Linked DNA regions of Ovis aries. The protein of the gene in region 1 purifies or fractionates together with the protein of each later gene. This does not show direct contact. Links are inferred from orthologs where the notes say so. Each region holds a gene or a part of one and is shown on either strand. Other genes may lie near its edges.

Evidence for each region. The genes of interacting proteins can lie anywhere in the genome.
Region 2: the proteins of ALYREF (region 1) and C1QBP purify together in Homo sapiens (affinity purification with mass spectrometry; 3 studies listed by BioGRID and IntAct, with this or other methods). This does not show direct contact. The link is inferred for Ovis aries from reciprocal best matches to the Homo sapiens genes ALYREF and C1QBP.

The regions. Positions count from the first base shown.
Region 1 is NC_056064.1:50,497,395-50,503,147, reverse strand, and holds the start of ALYREF (THO complex subunit 4), read right to left. Parts: upstream 3,769-5,753; 5' UTR 3,737-3,768; coding exon 3,500-3,736; intron 3,020-3,499; coding exon 2,888-3,019; intron 1,393-2,887; coding exon 1,245-1,392; intron 694-1,244; coding exon 630-693; intron 529-629; coding exon 351-528; intron 258-350; coding exon 243-257; 3' UTR 1-242. Other genes in the region: ANAPC11 (anaphase-promoting complex subunit 11), read left to right, coding at 4,505-4,613. UniProt on the Homo sapiens protein: Functions as an mRNA export adapter; component of the transcription/export (TREX) complex which is thought to couple mRNA transcription, processing and nuclear export, and specifically associates with spliced mRNA and not with unspliced pre-mRNA.
Region 2 is NC_056064.1:25,997,047-26,002,833, reverse strand, and holds the start of C1QBP (complement component 1 Q subcomponent-binding protein, mitochondrial), read right to left. Parts: upstream 3,440-5,787; 5' UTR 3,339-3,439; coding exon 3,116-3,338; intron 2,501-3,115; coding exon 2,350-2,500; intron 177-2,349; coding exon 80-176; intron 1-79.

The DNA of each region.
Region 1 (5,753 bases):
CAACAACAACCAGTAAAAGTTATCCCAAAAATAACTCAGTACAAAACAGGTCTGTTTCAGAATTTAAAAAAAAAAAAAAAAAAAAGGAAAAGAAACCTTTACATGAATCTTAAATCCTATTTTAAAACATAAAAGAAACAAATCCATCATTGGCCACACAGCCCCAGTCTGTCACCCCCTCCCGCCAGGGAGCACGGACGAGACTTCTGGGTCCTGGTCCATGCACGGATTTGCTGGTCTGTTTAACTGGTGTCCATCTGAAACAGAGGAAGAGAGGTGCTCACTCAAAATGAGGCCCTCCTCCAGTTGGTCTGGGACTGACCCTCACCCAGCCCTCCTCTGTGACTTACTCTTGCATTATAAGCATCCAGCTGGGCATCTAATTCTTCTGCGGAAAGCTGCTGCTTTGAACTCCTGCCGGTGCCTCTGCCTCTGCCCCGGCTGCCTCCACGGGTGCCTCTCCGGGTGCCGCCGCCACCACCGAAACCTCCTGAACCACGGTTTCTAGTCATCCCACCTCTGTTTACACTAGCAAGAAAAGGAGACTTTGCTCACATGCCTGGGAAGACCTGCAGCATGAGGAGACACCCCCACAGGCCAGCCCTGACTAGAGAGGCCCCGGAACTCACCTCTGTGCAGGTCTCCGCTGCGTGTCAATCTGTGAGGTGACGAGCTGAATGTTCATGGGGCGGCCTATGGCAGAGAACACAAGAGGGCCAGGTCCTATTAGAGGACTCTGAAGCCTGCTAGGGGTAGCACCCTGGCCTCCATGCAAGCACTGGAAAGGGACACTGCATCTTGTTGCTCCCGACGAGAGGACAGCCTGGAAATGCTGGTGGGAGAACAGCCCCACCAGCGCCTCCTCGCTCCTTCTCATCCAGTGCAGGTGGGTGTCTGTCGGGCGTCCAGGGTGCCCAGGAGCAGAAAGGTACCTTTGTCTTTACGACTACAGCCCCGCACTCAAGAGTTGTACTATGGTGGTTCTGAGAAGGCTTCACAGAAGTGAATCTTCCGGAAGGAGCTGAAGGAGGGGAGGGACGTAGCTTGCTGGATGGGGATTCACAAGAGGTTGGTCCAGATGTGGGGGGCAGCATGAGAGGTGGCAGTGTGGAAGAGAGACAAAGGGGCGAACACAAAGTGTCCTCAAGCAGAGGGGACCCTACTCTTGCAGGGATGGGGCCAGCCTCTGGCTCCGCAAACTAGCTACAGCGCTGCAGCCTTTCTGGGTCCAATCCCAAACGCACCATCCAAAGGAACGCCGTTGTACTGTTTCATAGCTTTTAGTGCATCTGCCTTCCGCTCAAAGTGCACGTCAGCTGTTCCTAAACTGCGGCCAGATCGGTCGTAGTGCACAGCCGCCTTCTTCAGAGTTCCAAATTCAGCAAAGAGCTCCTGAGAGTCAGAAAGAGCAGTTGTTAGCACAGCAATTTTTCTTCTGGTGGCCCAGGGACACTCCCTGGAAGTGTAAACTGCTTTGGGGTATTTCCCTGGGAGGAAGACATACACGTGGTGGGGCAGGGAAGTGGCGGTGGGACCTGGGGTATGGGATGGGACAGGTGGGACAGCAATTTCCCGGAGCAGCTGGGCCCGAGGGCTCCTGCCCACTTGGGAACCTGACATCTATACCACGATGCAGGTGAAGGATCACAAAGCCCACCAATGAAGGGCAAAGATTTAGTTGCTATCTTCTTCAACAAAGGAATATTTACAACACACCCAAGGACTGTGCCAAGAAGCAGCCAAGGCCAAGATCACAGAGCAAGGGGCTCTATCCACTTGTGGACCAGCTCCAAGGGCCCTCTGACTGGGAGCCCTGACCCAGCCCCTCCCCCAGGGCAGATTCTGGCTCACCTTTCCCTCTCCTCCTACTCAAGCCTGCCGCAAAGCCTGAAGTCAAGCGCTGCCATGGAAACTGCCCTGACCTCAGGCAGGCTGGGAGTTGGAGAGGGAACCCAGAGTGTGGGGCTACTCCGGCCGCAGGCACACAGCGGGAAGTGGAGTTCACCAAAAGCGGTTTCCAGTGGATGCCAGAAACCACCTTAAAAAAAGTGTTGAGACACTGTGAGTGCTCACTGGCCTTGCTCTGTCCTCCCAAGGCAAAGTAAATGGCTGGGCTCTGGGAAATTGAACCCAGGAAGGCCCAGTACCCTGCCCAGCCATCTCCTGGACTGACCCCCAAGATGTCATTACTTAACCATTTTAGGCAGCAAATTTAAAGGCCTTTAGGGTTCAACCGAAAAAAAAAAAGAAAGAAAGAAAAGGAAAAAAAGAAAAAGGGGAGGAAAGAGAGGCAAAAAAAAAGAGGCTTCAACCAAAGATGTTTGAGAATCATGTCACTAACAAAACCCAGGGGGTGAGGGTAAGTGAGAAGACAGGGGATGAAATTCCAAGTAAGACATGGGGCTTAAGGCAAATGGAGCCAGAGCGGCGCTGGCACCATCCTGCTCTGTGCTATGTCAGTTCTACAAAGGAAGTGCTTTCTCCTCCCAACAAACCATTAAAACAAGCAAAACGTAAAGAAAACAAGTAGCCTAGCTCTTCCAGGAACAGAATCGGAGCACAGTCAACCAAGCTTCTGCCAGAAGAGCTTGGGCAGAGTGCCTTCATCTACAAAACACGTTTTAGCAAGGAAGAACAGCAGCGCCCCAGACTAAGCTGGGGCCTTGTCTTCCAGCACAAACTGACACATTGGTCAGGCTTTCAACTCTAGCTCAACCTCTGCTCTGCATTCCTGGAGCCCATCACAGGGAACAGTGGCTGGCCTTTCGGTGCCTGGGAGAGCTTGTCGTCCCAAGGTGTGCGTGTGGGGGATTCTGGGCCAAGTCCCAAACGCCACAACCGATTCCGTGCGGAGTGACCCGCCCACCAAGAAACTCCAGTCCCTTACCTGAATATCAGCGTCGGACACTCCAAAATCCAGATTTGACACCAGCAGTTTCCCACCGGTCTCCACGCCGGCACCACCCCCAAAACCGCTATCGAAAAGGTCATGCTGCCATTTGTCAGGAAGTTGTTTCGGCTGAGGGAAAAGAAAACACAAGAACAGAAAAAGGTCTGTGAGTCTCACTCCAGGGCTCGCCCTCGCCCTCACGGCCACAGCAAGAGCCTCCCCCCATCTCGGCGGGGAGGCAGGCGCTGAGAGAGACCCGCAGCCTCCGCTTCACGCCCGCGTCAGGCCGTACCCGGCCGCCGCGGCCACACGTCCCGCAACTTCTCGGTTCCCTTCAACCAACTTCCCGCCACCGGGGCGGCCGCGCCAACGGCCCCTCAGCCCCCAGCGCCGTGAGGCCGGGCGCCCTGTTAAGACAAAGGCCGCCAGGGTCTCCGCCTTGGTGCCCGGCAGGCGAGCGACCTTCCCGCCCGCCGAACCGGCCGGCGCCCGCGCCCCCCGGCCCAGTCGGTCAGTCGGTCGGCCGCCCGGACGGCCCGCCGGTCGCCCGTGCGCCGCCCTGCCGGTTCGCTCCCTCGCCGCGGCCCGCCACCCGGTCTCCACACTCACCCTGCTGTAGGGCGCCGGCCGGTTCCTGCCGCCGCCGCCCGCCGCGCCGCGGGCGATGGCCGGCCGATTCCGAATGGGTCCGCCGCCTCGGTTCACTCGCGCGGCGGCCTGGGCTCCGCCGCCGCGGCCACCCTGGGAGCCGGCCCGGCCGCGGCCCCTGCCCCCGCCGCGGCCGCCTCGCTGGCTCCGGTTCAGCTTAATGATGTCGTCCAGAGACATATCCATTTTGTCGGCCATGGCGGGCGCGGAATCGGCCTCGGCTCGAGCCCGCGCGTCAGCACGTCGGCGCGTCACTTCCAGCGCCGCTCGCGGGTTTTCCGGTGCCGCGTCCTCAGAGCGACCGCGGATTGGCTGCGGGCCTTCGGCGTCTCAGGGGGCGAGGTCGCGCGTGCGCGCTGAACCAAGGAGCTCGGCGGGCGCCTCTGAGAAGTGCCGAGCCGCGGCCACAGGCGTTTATATACCTTCCCGCGCGGGGCCGGCACTGCCAACTGAAGGCGGGTGGTGCGGCGCGCGATTAGATCGGCGGGGGCGCGGCCGTTGGGGGCGTGGCCGAGCGTGGCGCCTCTCCCTCGCCCCTCCCCCACCGCACCGGGAACCCGCACCCTAGTCCAGCGGCGGGAGTGAGTGCGGCCCGCGCCAGGGTTGTTTCCGGGGTGACCTCGTAGGGAGCGGGCTTGGGTCTCCATCTCTCAGCCCCGTCAGCCCTTTCGGAAGTAGCGCACGGCGCGTTTCTGCGGTTGTTAAAGAAAGCCGACGAGCCCTTCTGCGGACGCCGAGGCAGAAGTGCGGTGTTGGCGAAGGACCAACACCGGTCCTCCCGGTCTTCCCGAGGACCCGGCCCCCGCCCCAGTCCCCTTGCAGACAGCCTCTTACTGCCTTTCGGCGGCCACTGTTGCCTACGCTCGACCCTCGGGGCGACGCCCCTTCTTTGGCTTCCAGGTGCCGTAGCTCTGCAGACTCAGCACAGCCGGGTGGTCTCTTCCCTCCTCGCAGGCTCCTCGCGCCATGAAGGTGAAGATCAAATGCTGGAACGGCGTGGCCACTTGGCTCTGGGTAGCCAACGACGAGAACTGCGGCATCTGCCGGATGGCCTTCAATGGCTGCTGCCCGGACTGTGAGTGTCCCCTGCCCGCTGTCTCTCGAGCTGTGCCTATCATCTGGCCTTGGCGTGTCCCCAGAAGTACTCGCAGAGCGTTTCTGGGGTTTGGTTTCCTCTTCCCAAGAAAAGTTGACAGAGAAAAGCCAGGCTATTTGGGCCCATATTTGTACAAAGATCCCGTCAAAAGTTTTGTAAGGAAAAGAGCACAGTTTCCTATCCTGATAAAAGTCACTATGAGACCCGTGGAACACAAAAATGTGTTAAGACATTGTATTTGAAAATTTCAAGTCAACAAAAAATTGTGACGTTACAAGGTTTCCCCCTCAATCCAGCACATAAATGATGAATAACACGTTTTCATATCTGGCTGTTTTTGCCCAGCTGTTTTAAGGTAAATGCTAAATATCTGCTGCATTGTCAGGCGGGTTCCTTATCACTGAGCCACCAGGGAAGCCGCAGCAAATGCTAAATGTGATGTCCTATATCAGTGCTGACTTTTACCAGCACTGTTGTCACTTTAGACAATATACTGCCTTACTGTTGCCGGTCATTCCTAGTCCTTGTTCAGGTTTCTTTAGTTGTCCTCAAATGTCTTTTTATTGTTGGGTGGTGTGAGCCAAGACCCAAGGTGTGATCACTTTTTCCCTTCACTACTTAATCTAGAATAGTTTTGCTTCAACTTCTCTATCGCGTTTTAGACATCAAATTATTTGTTTTTATTTTTCTTTATTTATTTTTGGCTGCTTAGGGACCTTCATTGCATTGAGCAGGCTTCTCTCCAGTTGTGTTGCATGGGCTCAGTTGTCTTGTATCATGTGGGATTTTAGTTCCTAGACCAGGGATCAAACCCACATCCCCTGCATTGGAGGGCAGATTCTTAACCACTGGACCACCAGGGAATTCCCCGTAGACATCTGATTTCTTTCAGAACATGTTGTCTTGCAAAATGCCTGACCTCAGGTTTTATCAGATTTCATCTTTGCGGTGTCTTTTGCATTGTTCCTTTGTCCCCAGTGTGTTCTGTGAAGCGAAAGTATTTGGGTCAAAAGGAGATTTTTGCACCAGTGAATTTAGTTTTTAGTCAGACACAAGTGAACCAGAAGCAGTAGGAAGGGTCTTAAGGCTTTGCCTAGGGGACGAAGGTGTTCCCGAGAG
Region 2 (5,787 bases), about 25 Mb from region 1:
CAAAACAAAAACCAATGCTCCTTCCCTAAGCCTGTCAGAAATAGGTGGGTACAGGCTGGTTACAGTGTTAGAAACTTACCTCCTGCTCCTCAGCCTTCTGCCCTTGGGAGGGTTCTTCCTCCTCACCACCGAAAGCAGGTGGGATGCTATTGTTAATGTTGAAAGTGACAGTGATCCTAGAAAGGCAACCAAAGAGCACAATGAAGATGTCTTTTTAACTGAGTAGCTGAGTACTACGGCTTGCTACAGTTAAAAATGCTGTTGAAACAATGTATCTCAGCCGGCTTTACATCTGATTTGCCTGCATCCCATCCACAGTTGGATTCAGCAGGTCTGAAGTGGGCCTACTATGTGTTGGCTGCTGGAAGTCAATTAGGCACTATTTCCTCAGCCAAATACAGTTGTGTGTTGGTGCTTCTGCCATCAGGCCACTATCCGGGGCTCTCTGTCAACCTTATAGCCACAGTCAGCTGACACCGCCACTCTTGTCTTTCCAGGGCACCTCCCAGTGGTGGTGAGCAGCTGAGAAGCTGTGGGCATGGGCTAGAAGCCTCCTCTAAAACAATAAATGTACTTGGCTGCACAGGGTCTTGGTTGCGAGGTACGCATGACCATTGTTATGTATGGGATCGCTCAGTTGCTACATGCGAGATCTTAGTTCCCTGACCAGGGATTGAACCCAGGTCCTCTGCGCTGGGAGCAGACACTTTGACCACCACAAAGTTCCAAAAGCCTCCTTTAAGAAAATAAAATGTACTTGGCTGGGCTGGGTCTTGGTTGCGAGGTGCATGTGACCTTTGTTGCTATGTGTGGTATTTTAGTTCCCTGATCGGGGATTGAACCCAGGTCCCCTGCACTGGGAGAGGAGAGGTTTAACCACTGGACCACCACTAAGTCCCAGGAGCCTCCTTTAAAAATCTTCCTCCATTAGAAGAAAATCTGCCTGAGAGGAAGAGAAGGAGCACCGGAGGGTTGTGGCATCAGCTGAGGATGGAGAGTAGCCCTGGCCCCAGGAAGGGGAGGCCTCACAAAGGACACCACATAGAGGAGTTCTCTGGTGGGCCAGGGGTTAGGACTTGGTGTGTTCACTGCCATGGCCTGGGTTTGATCCCCGGTCAGGGAACTAAGATTCCCACAAGCAGTGTGGCAAAAAAAAAAAAAGAATATGCTGCTGGACAGTTTTATTCTTCAGAGCAGATGTAGGAAGTTTAATAAATGACAAGGCAGGCCACAAACACCACCTAATGACAATTTTAACTTGCAAGAATCTTCACCTGACATATCATATTCCAAAATTTGAACTGAAAATTGAGTGACACTTGGAACGAGCACTGCTAGGTTGCAGACAACGCTGCCCTCTGAAGCCATGGTAACTGGCACCTTGACAGACAGAAGTTTGATGTACAGGCACAAAATCTGTCTAAGCTGTGACAGTGTGGACCAAACTGACCCCTGGACAGAGAAATGCAGCTATGTTCAGCAGCACATTATAATGGTCCCAAACTGCCTATAACTTCGCCTAGGAGAGTGGTTTGGGTCACGTTACAGACCACACAATTGATCTATGACGGGGAAAGCACTACAATACTAGGCAAAAGCACCAGCCTGCTGCTTCACAGCGCATGCAAAACTTCAAAGTGGACCGTGGATTTAAAACAGCTTAAGCAGGCCAAAAGCATCCCTCTTTTCTAATGAAAAACTATACTGCAACCCCACCCTGTTAATTATCTTGCTTTCTCAACTGTAAACAGAACAGGGGCTTTATTTTCCTCAGCCAGAGCCTGAGGGTAGTAGACCCAGCAGAGTAAATCCGATTCTGTGGGCAGTGCCGGAATCTCTGAATTTGCATGCCTAGTTGTGGGCAAGGCACAGCCTCACTCACCAGGAAGGGCTCAGTGACTGCTGCCTCTACTGGTCCAGAAGACTCCCAGTGGCTTGGCTTCAGTGCTACTGGGGTGATGTTCAGGCACTCAGTCGTGTCTGACTCTGCAACCCCATGGACTCCCTGCCAGGCTCCTCTGTCCATTGGATTTTCCAGTCAAGAATACTGGAGTGGGTTGCCATTTCAGACTCACACCTCCTCCTTTGGCAGGTGGGTTCTGGACGCCAAGCCACTGGGGAACCCCGCTACTAGCTTACTGTCTCCTTGTTAACCACCACAGCACATTACTGTGCAGTGAATAAGCAAAAAGGAGCCTAAGAAGTTATCCAAACGAATCATACCATCTCTGGGAAACCAGGAGTCAGTTAAGCACCTGTCTTAACTAAAAGTTGTTGTGGATACCTCACAGCAGGTCCTGCAGGTTTATGGATGTGGTCCCCTGGGCTCCATAGGCCCCTGGTACTTACTTTTCTCCAGCAACTTTCCGCACTAATTTGGCTTCCGTCCCATTCACTTCCAATTCCCAACCTCCTGACATTTTGGGGAGAGACTTATATTTCTGTATCTTCTTTTCCTCCTTGATCTCATCGCTGAGGAAGTCAACGAAAGCTTTGTCTCCTACAATGGAAATAAGTTACAGAAAGAGCCAATTAGTCTAAAATGGAAAATGACCCCGTTACTACAAGCAAAGACCAGGACTTAGCCTGTTTTTTCCTAATACTTCTATTAATGGTGGCTCTGTGGACTTAGCCCAACTCATATCCATTAAACCTCAATTCCTTCATCTGTAAAAATGTAAGCTATCAGTGGGAAGCTGAGCATGGATTCTAGGAAAGTGATCCCGAATAATGAACTTCTCACGACGTTTCAAAATAAAGCAAAAAAAAAAAAAAAAAAAATCGCCACTACCCTTTCACTTGCCAAGAAACATCACGCTACTTCTAACCGCGACCTTGGGCTTTCGCAAAGTTCCATTTTCGAGAGACTGAGGTAAAGCCGGCCTCCAGGACTTTACAGTATCTATCCCCGCAGTCAAACAGGGGTGGGGGAGGACGGGAAATGTTACTACGCGTGGGTTTAACTAGCAGGTCGACCATCACTGGGAGAATGTTCCGGACCTCAGGAGCGGCTCCGGACTGTCCATTCAGGTGGTCTACACCTCCCAGCCCCTAACACCCCGCCCCACCTAGGCCCACGCCCCTCACGCCCCCGGCCCACGTGCATGAGTCTCACCTTCGGTGTGCAGTCCGCTACAGCCGCAGCCGCAAGCGCAGGGCCCCCGAGGCTTCAGGAGGCCGGGCAGCTGAACCGACCCCGCGCGCACGCTCAGCAGCCCGAAGGGCCGGGCGCATGGCCGGGACGCGGGCTGCAGAAGCGGCAGGGAGGGTGCGGCGGCGCGGAGACCAGCGACGGCAGAACCCAGGACGCGGGGCACGCAGCGCAGCAGCTGGAACATTTTGGCAGCGGAGGCGGTGGCGAACACGTGCAGATTCGAAATACAACTCTCGCTTAGAAGGACAACTCCTTGCCGCTGCGCCCCCTAGATCTGGGACCGCCGCCGGAAGTCCCGCCCCACAGCCGGGAAGTGCTTCCGCGCCGCCGCCTTGCAGACCAGAAGGCACAGTGGGCAGGACCCTGCCCTCTGCTGGTGGCCTCCGGTGTAGCCTCCCAGGGAGGCTTGGAATCTGATTCCTAAACTTTAGTTCTGCAGCAACAGGAATCTTCAGGAACTAAAGAAGTTTAGGAATCCTGAAATGGGAAATCAAGTGGGCCTTAGGAAGCATCACTACGAACAAAGCTAGTGGAGGGGATGGAATTTCAAATCCTGAAAGATGATGCTATGAAAGTGCTGCACTCAATATGCTAGCAAATTTGGAAAACTCAGCAGTGGCCACCGGACTGGAAAAGCTGTTTTCATTCCAGTCCCAAAGAATGTTCAAACTACTGCACAACTGCACTCACCTCACACGCTAGCAAAGGAATGCTCAAAATTCTCCAAGCCAGGCTTCAACAGTATGTGAACTATGAACTTCCAGATGTTCAAGCTGGATTTAGAAAAGGCAGAGGAACCAGAGATCAAATTGCCAACATCCGCTGGATCATGGAAAAAGCAAGAGAGTTCCAGAAAAACATCTACTTTTGCTTTATTGACTACACCAAAGCCTTTGACTATGTGGATCACAACAAACTGTGGAAAATTCTGAGAGATGGGAATACCAGACCACCTTACCTGTCTCTGAGAAATCTGTATGCAGGTCAAGAAGCAACAGTTAGACCTGGACATGGAACAACAGACTTGTTCCAAATTGGGAAAGGAGTAAGTCAAGGCTGTATATTGTCACCCTGCTTATTTAACTTCTATGCAGAGTACATCGTGCGAAATGCGGGCTGGATGAAGCACAAGCTGGAATCAAGATTGCCAGGAGAAATATCAATAACCTCAGATATGCAGATGACACCACCCTTATGGCAGAAGGTGAAGAACTAAAGAGCCTCTTGATGAAAGTGGAAAGGAGAGTGAAAAATTTGCCTTAAAACTCAACATTCAGAAAACAAAGATCATGGCATCTGGTCCCATCACTTCATGGCAAATAGATGGGGAAACAATGGAAACAGTGAGACTTTATCTTCTTGGGCTCCAAAATCACTGCAGATGGTGACTGCAGCCATGAAATTAAAAGACGTTTGCTTCTTGGAAGAAAAACTATGACCAATCTAGATAGCATGTTAAAAAACAGAGACATTGCTTTGCCTACAAAGGTCCATCTAGTCAAAGCTATGGTTTTTCCAGTAGTCATGTATGGATGTGAGAGTTGGACTATAAAGAAAGGTGAGTGCCGAAGAATTGATGCTTTTAAACTGTGGTGTTGGAGAAGACTCTTGAGAGTCCTTTGGACTGCAAGATCAAACCAGTCCATCCTAAAGGAAATCAGTCCTGAATATTCATTGGAAGGACTGATGCTGAAGCTGAAACTCCAATACTCTGGCCACTTGATGCAGAGTTCTTTTCATTGGAAAAGACCCTGACGCTGGGAAAGACTGAAGGCAGGAGGAGAAGGGGATGAGATGACAGAGGATGAGATGGTTGGATGGCATCACTGACTTGATGGACATGAGTTTGAGTAAGCTTTGGGAGTTGGCGATGGACAGGGAAGCCTGCCGTGCGTCCATGGGGTCGCAAAGAGTCAAACATGACTGAGCAACTGAAATGAAACTTCTTTAGCTGAGTGGCTCTGAGTCTGGTGTCCCAGGACTGCTGTTTAATTGGCTTCTCTCCAAACTTCCATCTACTGTTCTCAAGCATGACCAGGCTTTCTGTGACTTCGTGGAATGCACTCTTGCTGTCTTTGACTCCCAAAACCAGCCTCTGAGGTCATCTCCCATGAAAGGCCTTCCTGGCTCTTCCTCCTCTTCCCTGAAAAACCAGAACTCATGCCTCTGTGACCGGGTCCCTGTACTTCATTCTTTTCTCAGCAGAAACCTCCTGGCATTGCTCGTTTACCTGGCAGCTGCCCCTTACCCCCTGGAGCTCCTGAAGGCAAAATGCCTGGTTAACTTTTGCAGCCCTCCAACCTTACACCTAGGTTCTGATGGAACATTATTTTGGGGGGGCAAGAAGCCACGGCTTACATTATATTTAGGTTAAGAACCAATGTTCCTACTTTACCAGGAACCATAATATACTATAAGGTACCAAGAAAATAAATCTTTCCAAATCAGTGGCAAAGATATGACTAATATTAATATAATCTAAACAGCATTCTGTGAATAAGGGAAAGGAGACCCAAGAAAGAAGCCACACACAATATGTACTAGATTCACTTTTAATGGGTTTGAGTCATGTGCGAATGTTGATGCTTCTACAGACCTATGCCTGTGTGAGTAAGAAAAGAGTCTCAAAACAC